Coturnix japonica: one gene and its partners. The main gene of each other region encodes a partner of the protein of the gene in region 3 in a complex. Links are inferred from orthologs where the notes say so. Each region holds a gene or a part of one and is shown on either strand. Other genes may lie near its edges.

Region 1 (3,646 bases), on a different chromosome or scaffold from region 3:
TCCTTCAGCTTTACACACGGTCACAAAACCCACGAGATGCCAGAGATGACTGCTCAGCTTTGAGGGTTTTTGTTGTTTTCGATTTTTCATTGAAGCCACTTTACAGTCCTGAAGTACAGCTCTGAAAACAAAAGGTGTGTGATGAACGCTTCACGAGTTCAATGCTGGGCTTCACGGGAAGCCTTGGCAATTATCCCTTTTTACCAAAACGTGTAAAAAAGTTGACATATTACAATTAAAAAAGGTAACATCAATAACCAAAAAAAGCTTCAACCAGTGTTAATAAAATTCCCTTTAAGTCACAACAGTTTCAACAGGCAAATTGTCCCAATACAGGCATTGTAAAATAATAAATTTACTCCTATCCAAATATTATCAAATCAGTCTAAAAATGACTTATCTACACTGTTGTCATTAAGAACACATTACGAATTCACTTTGTCATCAGATGCCGATATTGTTGCTCCAGAAAGTGTGGAGTATTAACTGCAATTTAGCAATTAAGCATAGCTTTAGAAAACTTGGTTCCTCACATAGAAGTACTGTGCTTGCCAGACAAGTAAGATAATGCTTCGGGTATAAATCAAACAAATTAAAGCAGAATTATACCGCAGTTTTCCTTGAAGACTTAGGCTTTGTGTGTTGCTTCTGCCAATGTTTAAAAAACTTATGAAGCAGAACCTTTGGTTCTTTTAGTCAAGTAAAAATATTCTCCTGTAACCACAAAAATAAAACTTCCAGAGAAAATGGAAGTCCACCAAGAAGTCCACTTTCAATAAAACTGAGGTAGCACTGCTCTTTTATTCTGTGTTGTGTCAGAGATTTCGATACAAATCCTCATCTACCACTCAGTTGACTGACAGGTACAGTAACTTTATAAAACAGTCCCAACATTCAGTTTGAAACTGAAAATAAAAAGGAATGATTTGGACTCGGTCACGAGGAGTTACCTTCAAGTGGCAACGAGCCACACTACAAAAAGCTGTTGCTTATGTCATTGGATTTGTTGCTGTTGTTTGTTTCTTAAGAGCCTTATTAGGAGGGGATTAATGCATTTCAAGTTAACACTGCTATATTCTTGGTATAAAACCTTAAAATCATTACAGCCTAAATTTTCAACAATGTAAACAGCACTACACACAGTACAGACCTGCCCTGACAGACGTAGTATGAAAGACTTAATCTGGCACTGTATAATTTAGCAATGTTAATTTAACCTAACTAAAAGGATCTACATTGTGCAAGAAATATCAGACTTACTTATACTAATCTCAAGTCTTAACAAAAACGCTTAACTTGTAGCCGGGGTAAAATATTTCCGGGTAAGAGTAAAAGGAGTAACCAAAGTTAAGAAAGTGCCTAAAACATGATACAGCATTTTAGAGCCCTTTCGAATACAAGGCAGAAAAAGGTGTAAAGTAGAAAAAAAACAAACATCTGGAGCCTCGGTAACCTCCAGAAACATCCAGAGTTTACATCTCACGAAGGGCAACAGGTTGCTTTCATCACTGCCACCTAAATGCTGTTAAGTCTGTTCTTCCCTACACAGACCCCCTGTGTCCGAAGACATAATACATTTGGTTTCCTCTTCCTTTTTCCTCCGCTCCATTTCCCACTCCACAAAGGTATCGAAGAGACTCGGCCAGGCCTCGTCTTCGCTGTAGTTACTAAGGTCTGGTCCGATCACCTGAGTAAAATTTAGAAACATGTTCCACGTGTCCCGGGAGATTCCCTTGATTCCTGAGGGGTTCTCAACTAGGAAGTGCAACCACTGGTCCAAAATGGGGGGCTTGTTTTGGGTGAAGACTAATTTCCAAAGGGCAATGGCTATTTCCCGATGCAGTGACCTCTGTCCTTCCTCAGAGTCCAGGCCAAACTGAAAGGTGAAGCGGTAGAGATCCTTGAATTTATCTTCCTGCTTGGCTTCATGTAAGAGGCTGGGGAACCGTGCACAAATGCCATCGATGCTGTCCGCATTTATTGCTTTACAGCCTTCAAAAAACTCCTTCCTATTACAAGAGAGAAGAAAAATTAGTGTGCACACTTCTCATGCACCGAGCACTTCCCACCTCTCTAAGCTTCATCAGGACTGGTCTTGGAGGAAGTCATTATGCGTAACATCAGTTGGGAACGAACATCAGTTGGGCCTGCTTTACACTCTTTCACAAAACAATAACAGAGCTGGCAGCAATTACTAAGGACTCTCACAGCAAAAGTTATCTGCTGTGTCAAATCTTAACCTTAAGGCAGAGCTGATACAGAAAAGCTGGTTTTGTGAGCCAAGAACAAACTGATGTCTACAGAATGTCTCCATGCTGTTCATCATTAGTAGCGTGATGTCCAGAAACATTTTCAGTTCTGAAACCTACCGTGAGGGAGCAGGAGGAGAGGACAACACTGAACTTACCTTCTGCAGCCGCAGGAATGAACTGCACCAAAGCGCAACAGTTAGAAGAAATACCTACGTGAAGTGAATGAGGCTCTCTCTGATACAGATGACAGGATAGTTTAACATACAAAAATATTTAAAACTCCACGGGAACTAACCTTGTAAATTTGCACATAGTAGCAGCCTGGAATTTCCAAGCCAGAACTAGCACTTTAAATTCAGTGGGATCAACACAGAGGTCACTGCAAAATCGTTCCATTCCTTCCTCCAGTATGGCATCTTCCCGCTCATCCTTGTACCTCCTAAATAACTCTCCAATCTTTTGGAGGGACGATTCTTCTGCGCTGGAGACAGAGTCTTTCTTTGTATCCCCAGAAAACACTGAAGGTGGACCAGACTCCACAGCAGCATCCGCTTTCTTTGTCCCATTCACGAGTATATCTCCCGAGGACTTCCCACATGCCGAAGTGTGGTCATCTTTGTGCACAGCACTCCTCTTGCTATGCGACTTGCTGCCCGTTTCCCTTTCCCCGTTTTTGCTGCCGAGGGTAGACGAAGGATTCTTGCACTTGGTGACACACTGGCCCATGGTGCAGGGAGCCTGGCTTCATTCAGAGCAGCCTCCTTGCCGTGCCACAGCCCCGCGGCCACCCCTCAGCACACTGCTCCATGCCGCTGGGGGCTGTCTGCCAACCTGGAAAACAGTTTCAGAGTGAAAGAGCACTTCTCCACAAAGAACATTGCAAGCACTACACGTGGGATAACATTCACTGGAAGGAGATGGGCTTCAGGATACTTCTGTTTCGCCTGTTGAAAAGGAACAGTGTGCAGAAAGTCAGTGTATGCTGGAAACTTCAGGCAATTCCAGGCTGCTTCACCTCGCTCAGTTGCTGCTGTATATTAACAGGTCTTAATAAAGGAAATTCCTAAAATTCTTATGGAAACATAGGTTACAAAGAGGTTGATTCATGTGCAAACTTCATCGTGACAGACTACTCTAACACAGAAATGTTTTAAAGGAAATTTAAAAAAATATGTGTGTGTGTGCACTCACATTTAAAATACAGAGCACAAAATGGTGAAACAAAGCACTGGGTGGGGGAAAGAGAGGGACAGCAACAAGATGACCTGACCCAGAGCAGGGGCACGCACACACAGAAGTAGCAGTAACCCCAGTTCAGCTGGTAAAATCAAAATTTAAAGGCCAAAACAATTTCCCTGTGTAACTGACCCAAAGGTCAGGCTGGGCTGGCAGCA
Region 2 (3,646 bases), on a different chromosome or scaffold from region 3:
TCACACGTATTGTTTAGATACAAAGAATGAACAATGAAAATAACACTTACCGAAACAGAAACTGTCGGTTAAGGTTGGACACATCTATAGTATCCATGTCAATTACATGGATCTGCCTAAAACCAGACAGTGCCTGTGAAAAGAGATAGGCAACCTCACTACATAAGCAATGAAAAGCTTACAGTGCTGCAAGATTCATTCTGAATGCCAAAAAGGCAACCTTTGGAGGAACAAATGTAGGTGTTCTTTGTTCCCTGTGCAGATCAGCATGTCAGCTCTCTTTGTTGAAATGCTGGGTTGCTAACGCTGGTATTTGGACAGATGGAATTAGCAACATTTCAGTTGTCAAAGCACTGGCTTTAGAGAAGGGAAACGCTTTGCAGTGTTCTGAAGTGACATAAAAAATTGAGTCCCATGCTCTACTCCCCCCCCACCCCCCTTTTTTTTTTCTTTCTATAAAGACTCAATCTTGTCACATAAAAAACTTCAAACTTCTTGTTTGATGCTTTTTCTACATCCCATGTGTAATAACTGCATTAAATGCTGCACTGTGAAACTGATTAAACAAATGAACAGAAAGTAGCCTCTGGAAGAAAAGCAGTAAGAATTTCTGTATGTCATATTGCGTATCTTTAGTGCTGAACACTCATTTAGTTCACAAATCACAGTTCAGTTTTTGCCCAGTATTATCAAAGCAGATCAGAAGAGCCTAACAAAGAGAAGAGTGGGCCCAAAACATGAGGAACAGACACACTGGAGCCCTTAAGATATTTTTACTGGTGTTTCAAAGACACTGAGTACACGTGAACATCATCTAGACTTAAGTATGAGCATTTCTTTCTGAAAATTATAAAAGTAAATCACAATAACTTAAAATCTTTTGGAAAGGTGGAGACTGGGCATACATGGCAGATTTATGAAAACCCTTAACACAAGTCCTTCCTCATAATTAGCAACAGAGTGAATTTGTTCTTCTCCAATAAGCCTACAATACAGCAGCTCTAGTCAGAAGTTTAGTTTACCAGCACTACATTTTCAAAGAAAGAAAACTGCTATGTAGTTTTCAGTCTCTTCAAGCAAAATCCTGCTTAAGTAGAACGGTAACAAAGCGGTGCCAGAATAATATTACTCACAAGTGCTGGAACTCAAAACCCTAAGTTAACTTATCTGGAATGCCTGACTTCACATGAGGTGAATGATTTATCCAGCACCTCAAGCTTGCAGGTAATCTGTAGTGTAGTGAAATAGCAGTAAATAAAAACCATACTAAAATGAATCAACTCATAATTGCTCATATAGAAACTGTACTTTGTAACAATTTGCTATATCAAACCACACATTTTCCATGTAAACAAACTGTAAGGACAGAAGTTTTTACTGTTGAAGGAAGCAGGTGAATTACAGAAACTTAGTCCAAACTAAGTGATGGTAAGCGATACATTACAACAAATAAGAAAGGCCATGAGGAAGAAAATAGAGTAATAGAAAAATTAAACTCATACATACTTATTGGGTAAATGTCAGATAGCACACTATCCCATGGCTGCATTTTTAAACACTTAAAAACTGCTTCTCAGAGCTTGTAGAGAATCCATTACAAGCTAGCACTGCTGTCAAGAAGAGTACAGTAACTCTGCAGTGTATTTTCTTTGGTCTCACACCTATTCCTCCTTAGCCACTTCCATATAGGATAGCGCATGTTGGTCTGATGGAATAAAGAAGCTTTTTACACAGGCTGAATTCAGCAGCACTGATGCAATCCTGAAAGAGTCCTAAAGATTCTTGTTGAGTCTCTGGAGAGAAGCTCATGTTTACTGAGAGCCACTACTCTCTGGATTCCAACAATGAGGAGGAGGTCACCACAGGCACAGTAAGACTGGCTCTATTACTTTCATTTTTAAAGATCATAGGTCCAGCATTTCCAGCCTCTCTTTGCATTAATCCAAACACATAAAAAATTAAGTTAATCTTTGGCTGCTAATGATAAACTCTCTATTAGCCACTCTTTGTATAGTTCATTTCCCAGGATCTCATAATTGGGGGAAGGCTGAGGGAGTTGGGTTTGTTCAGCCTAGAGAAGAGAAGGTTGCGGGGTGACCTCATTGCAGCCTTTCAATACCTGAAGGGAACTTACTCCCAGGAGGGGAGTAAACTCTTCAAAAGGGCTGATAATAGCAGGACTAGGGGAAATGGTTTTAAGTTAAAAGAGGGAAGATTTAGGTTGGATGTTAGGGGGAAGTTCTTCACTAGGAGAGTGGTTAGGCCCTGGAACAGGCTGCCCAGGGAGGTTGTGGATGCCCCGTCCTTGGAGGTGTTCAAGACCAGGTTGGACGGGGCCCTGGGCAACCTGATCTAGTAAACGTGTATGTTTGGTGGCCCTGCCAGGCAGGGGGGTTGGAACTACATGATCCTTGAGGTCCCCTCCAACCCGGGTCATTCTGTGATTCTGTGTGATTCTGTGGGGAAAATACCCAATATTAGGCCCTACCTAAGGCTGTAAATAAACATTTTCCTGCACTTCATACACAGCAGCACACTGCTCCTCAGGAGAAACACTGAGAGAGCTCAAAGAAAATAAGTACACCTTACACTACCACCCTTCAAGCTCATTTCAAGGAGTAACTAAGATCACAAGAAAAGGATGAAAACTGAGTAATTACCAGGTTCTTCAGGAGTTCACATCCTAACCCTCCTGCTCCAATAACTAGTACTTTACACGTGCTTAAAAGAAATTCAAGAGCCTGTGGAAAATATAAAACAAACAAACAAACAATTAATACATCATATAGGAAAAGGTACCATTTGTCCTTTGTTTCATACACCTTACAATTGTGTCATCATAAATTTTCAGTGCACAATAAGCTTCATATAAAATAAGTTAGATCAATAACATAGTTTAAGCTTGCAGGAATAATTATACTTGGACTTTAATCAGTTGTTAAGTTCATGTAATTCCTGTATCTCTACTTAAAGGAAAGCGAGTCTGTTTGCTATCAGTATTCTCTTTGAATTAATTTGGCTGTGAAAAAAGAAAAGCAAGCTCCATTTTATTATTACTCAGTTTAAGGACACATTTCAGTTTAGTGTTTTTCCCCCAAGCAGCTTGCTTACATATAATACAAAATAAACAGATAGAAAACATTGCTGGCCACATAGTTTTTTTTCTATTAACTACATTATTAGACTCTATAGTCAAAGTAGCATATAATGGAATGGTACATTTAAAAGGTTAAACACATTCAACTTTAAGCTTTGAAACAAAAGGTACCAAAGCAATGAAAGGAGAAGAAAATTCAGAGAGGCAAAATTTTGCTTTTCCCTATGGAATATCCCAATTCTCCAAGTACTCATATTAAGTTTAATTTCTTAAGTACAAGGAATTCTTTACTGTGCCTAATTGTTTAAAAATCAATAGACTAACACTATTTTTCATGTGAAACTCAAAGATGGAGAATAATTATTACTGTGTATCATAGAATACATTTCTACACATGCCAGCAAGTTGACAGTTTACAATCTAGAAATAAAAGTATATGAAAAGAATATGACACACTCTTCTAATATAATCACATTCACCAATTGAAATACATGGTCTTCACATAGGTTTACTGTTCATATACTGCTGGTAGTCAATTAATGAAACCAC
Region 3 (4,252 bases):
CCAGGAAGACCTGAGAGCAGTGCTTCAGCACCAGGGGCTGCAAGAAGGAAGGGGACAGACTCTTTAGCAGGGTCTGATGTGACAGAACAAGGGGGAATGGTTTCAGACTAACAGTGGGGAGATTTAGAGCGAATTTAAGGAAGAAGTTGTTACTGTGCTTTTTGTTGGGGTTTCTTTTGTTCGTTATATATTTTACAGAAAGCGCGGTGAGGCACTGGAACAGTTTGCCCAAAGAGGTGGTGGAAGCCTCGTCCCTGAAGACATACGGAATCAGGCTAAATGGGGCTCTGAGCACCTGATAGAGCTGTTGGCATCCCTGTTCATTGTAGGGGGGATTGGACTAAATGGATTCCTTCCAATTCAAAGATAATACAGTTCTATGATAAACTCCACATATAAACCATGAGGTCAGCCACAAGCAATTTCAAACACACTTCTGGAAAGCATTCTATAAAACATTTAGTATTGTATCACCGCCAACAGGTCTAAAAAGTACAAACCACAAAATTTAAATGCAAGTTCCTTTCACCTTTAACAAGCAATTTATCTCGAACAGACACCCTCCGAGTGGAATCAGAAGATGGATTGGATGCACGGGGTCCTCTGACACCATCATCCCGCTTCAACTTGCTTGCCAGAGTGAGCATTACTGCTGTCTTCAGTCTAGAACACAGATATAAGAACAGAGTTAATTGCCAATACTCAAAGCACTACGGAAGGGGAAGTACACAAATAGGAGACGGTTAGACCCACATTACATAGCACTGGCCATATTCTTAGCAGTCAAAGAAAACAGACAACTTGACTGCAGTTAAAGTCAAGGACTAACTGTAGCGTTTGAAGAACAAGAGTTTGTTTCAGATGGAAATACTGATAGAGCTGCAACCTGTCAGGTGAGGAGGAAGTTCAGTTTTTGCTGGCAAAAGGTCAGACTTTCATCACTGTTTACAACCTTGTCTCACTGCACCATCTAACACAGTGTATTGCTGTCTGACATCACTACTCATAAAGAACTGCAGCAAGAATCCCACTGCCACGTTCCCAGCCAGACAACCTGTTCCTACCATCCTCATCTATATCTCCCATGACAGCACTCAGAACTGCTTTTGGCAGCCAAAGAAGAGAGGAAGAGGAGGGGAGGGGCTCCTGGAACTACTCTGCAGCACTGGGAAGTGTGTTGAGTCAGACAGCAGCACCCAGCAAAGGGAACAGATTTAAACTGCTCAACAGTGACACAATGCACCCTTCACAGCACAGCCAAAGTTACACATGGACAGTTGGTAACTGAAACAGAGAGATTTTTGCTATGTCAGTCCTCCACATCAGAAGAGGACTATGATGATCAGTCACAGCAAGAGTTGGACAGAATGCCAAATTCTTCAAACCAAAGTGCTCTGCCTGAACATTTTAACGCTACTCCTACTTTAAGGCAGCTCATTCTTATAAGAAGTTTCATTCTTATTAGAAATGCGGCCAAAACCTTGTCCTGCTGACAAGATCAATACCATTTAGGCCTCATCACCAGTAGAACAGTAATGTTTATCCTATAATCATACAAGCTAATTGAGCAAAATAAAGGTAAAAAGCTTGTAAGAAATCAGCATTTGGCCTTAACATGAGCTAGTCTGAACAGAAGACTGGACAGGTACAGTGCAGCAACTTCCAAGACATGAAACAGTCACTCATGCAACATCAGCTTTCCACCAGTTGAGATACTGACAGTGCAAATGGTCAAGTGAAAGAACCACTGAGCTGAAGCTAAGCACAACATAATATGACAAGACTAGAAACAAGACTTTTATGTCAGCTCCAGCTCTATGTATGTTGTTGCTTCTTTCTTTCTAAGCATGCCTTGAAATCAGCAGGTCAACAGCAACAGCTTTTGCTGATTTTGTTTGTTCCGGCCACAAGGAAATCAGGTGGGAGAAAAAGCTTCCCCAGCCTGTCAGTCTGCTTGGTGTACCTACAAAAACAGCCTGACTGCTCTTGAGGTTTGTGAGAAAGCTGGGGGATTTATATCAAAGCACATCAGCGCCAAAGCATCAACACAGGGAAGAGGTGAAATCAAGCAACAGCTGTGACAGCTGGGTATTCAAGGTAGAGGGCTGGAATCAGATGAGCTTTAGGAACCCTTCCAACCTAAGCTATTCTGTGATTCTGGGTCGAGAAGAATATAACAGATAACTGAGTGATGACAGGTATGTGTCTTACATTTCAGATCCAGACTGAAACAGTAAAATCTGGAGTAAATGTAAATCCTGGTTTCCCATCTGAAACAGACTCAGTTGCGGGTTTTTTTCCCCCCTTTCTTTCTCTGGGACAGCATGAAATGAATAAGCAGACAATAGAGCCTGTTTTTCTACAAAGAAAGGCAACAGCTGGTTTTAACGAAACGGAGAAAAAGAGAAGAGGCAGGAAAACAGCGACACGGGCTCCTAAGAGCAAAACAACAACGAAAACAGAGAGGAAAACCCTGTGAGCTGCAGGGTGTCACGTCCAAACGGAACCAGTGTCAGCGGGCATTGAGCACCTCGCTGCCTTCAATGCGGCACAGGGAGAAGCCGAGCAGCACGGGGAGGGGACGAGCTCAGCGCTGACGGAGCCCAGGGAGGGGGTTGTTTGCAGCACGCAGGGGCCCGTACTACCGGGCCTCTCTCCCCTCAGGCGGGGGCAGGCAGCCGGAGTGCCGAGGCCTAGTAGGCCGGCGTTGTAAGCGCGACCGAACCCAAACCCAGAGGCGTTGTGGGGCGGCCCGCACCTACCTGAGCGCGGCGTCAGGGCCCGGCTCCCGCGGCCAACACCATCCCGGGGCTGGCCCGGGGCAGGGGCGGCGGCGCGGCTCCTCCTCCGCCTTCAGCCGCCCGCCCGACGTTATGGAAGTGGGCGGGGATGTGGGCAGGGCCTGCGGGAGACCCCTCCCCTCCACCGGCTGCGAGGGCTCTTCCTGCCCCCCCCATCATCTCTCGAGAGTCCGCCATGTTTGGTGTTGTGCTCCACACAGCACAAAGCTGAGCAGCTCCACACATCATTCGCCATTGCCCAGCAGTGACTGTTCCCAAAGCTAAAGAAACAAAACCAACATCTTAAACTATCCTACCTAAAGTCTTCATGGTTCCTTACGTCCTTTACATCTTATATTTAAACTATCCTACCTAAAGTCTTGATGGTTCCTTACGTCCTTTACATCTTATATTTAAACTATCCTACCTAAAGTCTTGATGGTTCCTTTTTAGTCTGTTTTTAAGCTTTTATTTAACACATCCATCTCTCTGTTGGAAGAAAGCAGCAAAGTCTGTTTTTTTTTATTAAAAAGTACCAGTTTCTTCCTTAGTGGGCAAGTTGGAAGAGTTCTTGTATTTGTTCCTGACTTCATACAACAAGGCAGTATCCTAAAACCCCCTTGTGACTTCCCTAAATGCAGCTTTTCTGTGCTCTTATGATACCTCTATATCCAAACACATTCCAGCTACTGCAAAATGAAGTCACAGTCCCTGCTGCAGATACACATTAGAGATCAGTCATCGGGCTTGGAACAGCAGCAGGTTCAGGCAGAGCTCAGGACGTGATCTGTGTTTTACTGGCATTTTCTCAGCATTGGTGCTACTCAGTATATCGGATAATGCTAACAGAACTGAAACCAAGCTATCCTGGGGGGCAAATGAAAATCAGACCCCTTCTTAAGGGTTTTATCTTGAGAACTGTGTTTTAGCATGACTGCAGCATGATTACTTCTTGACATAAAACTGCTGCTTTATCTACTTGAACACTCTTTGTCTTCCTGTTTGTCTACAGCTTCCAGGCCATCCCCATTATCTGTGGAACTGCAATCCTTTCCCCATCCACACAACAGACAGAGTACAAGAGATGGAAAAGCAAGTTTGTTTGGATGCCAAACAGCAGATGAAAAAGAGCTGGAGAATACAGCACTTTGGTGGTTTAACTTCCTTTTTTAGCACACTCACCCACCAATGTTGGCCTTCTGGTATTCCTAATAATAGCTTTCAGGAGTCAGTTTGTTTTCTACAGAGGAACATGGCCTGTCTGGACATTTTAGATCCTTAAGAGACTTGTGCACACAATTGCAAGAAAGCAAAATCAGTTCTGCTCAAAAGACACAGGCAGCTAAACCACTTAAACTAAAATTACCTTTTGAGAAGGAAAAAAAAGAGGCAAAGAAGAAAACATTACTGATTCTACTGAATATTCCCATGAAAGAGGCAGCCCAGGAGACTTGGGAACCTTGAGGCATGAG

What was found.
Region 1: the proteins of UBE2F (region 3) and DCUN1D3 are in contact, whole or in part, in a crystal structure (PDB 4GBA), measured with the Homo sapiens proteins. The link is inferred for Coturnix japonica from reciprocal best matches to the Homo sapiens genes UBE2F and DCUN1D3. Residues at the interface, in NP_001265234.1 of Homo sapiens: Leu2, Thr3, Leu4, Lys7, Leu8; in NP_775746.1 of Homo sapiens: Glu108, Glu109, Glu112, Pro122, Thr123, Glu124, Met139, Cys140, Glu194, Ile204, Ala207, Leu208.
Region 2: the proteins of UBE2F (region 3) and UBA3 are in contact, whole or in part, in a crystal structure (PDB 3FN1), measured with the Homo sapiens proteins. The link is inferred for Coturnix japonica from reciprocal best matches to the Homo sapiens genes UBE2F and UBA3. Residues at the interface, in NP_001265234.1 of Homo sapiens: Thr27, Arg28, Arg29, Val30, Asp34, Lys35, Val38, Lys39, Val41, Ala42, Glu45, Val54, His55, Phe56, Pro57, Asp58, Pro59, Asn60, Leu62; in NP_003959.3 of Homo sapiens: Ala401, Thr403, Thr405, Leu406, Glu407, Gly408, Asn410, Arg411, Thr412, Ser417, Val418, Thr419, Ser420, Ile421, Arg424, Thr425, Gln442, Glu443, Ala445, Ala447, Asp448, Val449, Thr451, Pro452, Gln453, Thr454, Leu456.

Annotation. Positions count from the first base shown.
Region 1 is NC_029529.1:12,698,473-12,702,118, forward strand, and holds part of DCUN1D3 (DCN1-like protein 3), read right to left. Parts: intron 3,084-3,646; 5' UTR 2,979-3,083; coding exon 2,548-2,978; intron 2,010-2,547; coding exon 1,526-2,009; 3' UTR 1-1,525. UniProt on the Homo sapiens protein: Contributes to the neddylation of all cullins by transferring NEDD8 from N-terminally acetylated NEDD8-conjugating E2s enzyme to different cullin C-terminal domain-RBX complexes and may play a role in the cell cycle progression by regulating the SCF ubiquitin E3 ligase complex, after UV damage.
Region 2 is NC_029527.1:12,736,944-12,740,589, forward strand, and holds part of UBA3 (NEDD8-activating enzyme E1 catalytic subunit), read right to left. Parts: intron 2,742-3,646; coding exon 2,661-2,741; intron 134-2,660; coding exon 51-133; intron 1-50. UniProt on the Homo sapiens protein: Catalytic subunit of the dimeric UBA3-NAE1 E1 enzyme. E1 activates NEDD8 by first adenylating its C-terminal glycine residue with ATP, thereafter linking this residue to the side chain of the catalytic cysteine, yielding a NEDD8-UBA3 thioester and free AMP.
Region 3 is NC_029522.1:8,478,935-8,483,186, reverse strand, and holds the start of UBE2F (NEDD8-conjugating enzyme UBE2F), read right to left. Parts: upstream 2,905-4,252; 5' UTR 2,763-2,904; intron 664-2,762; 5' UTR 648-663; coding exon 530-647; intron 1-529. UniProt on the Homo sapiens protein: Accepts the ubiquitin-like protein NEDD8 from the UBA3-NAE1 E1 complex and catalyzes its covalent attachment to other proteins. Together with the E3 ubiquitin ligase RNF7/RBX2, specifically neddylates cullin-5 (CUL5).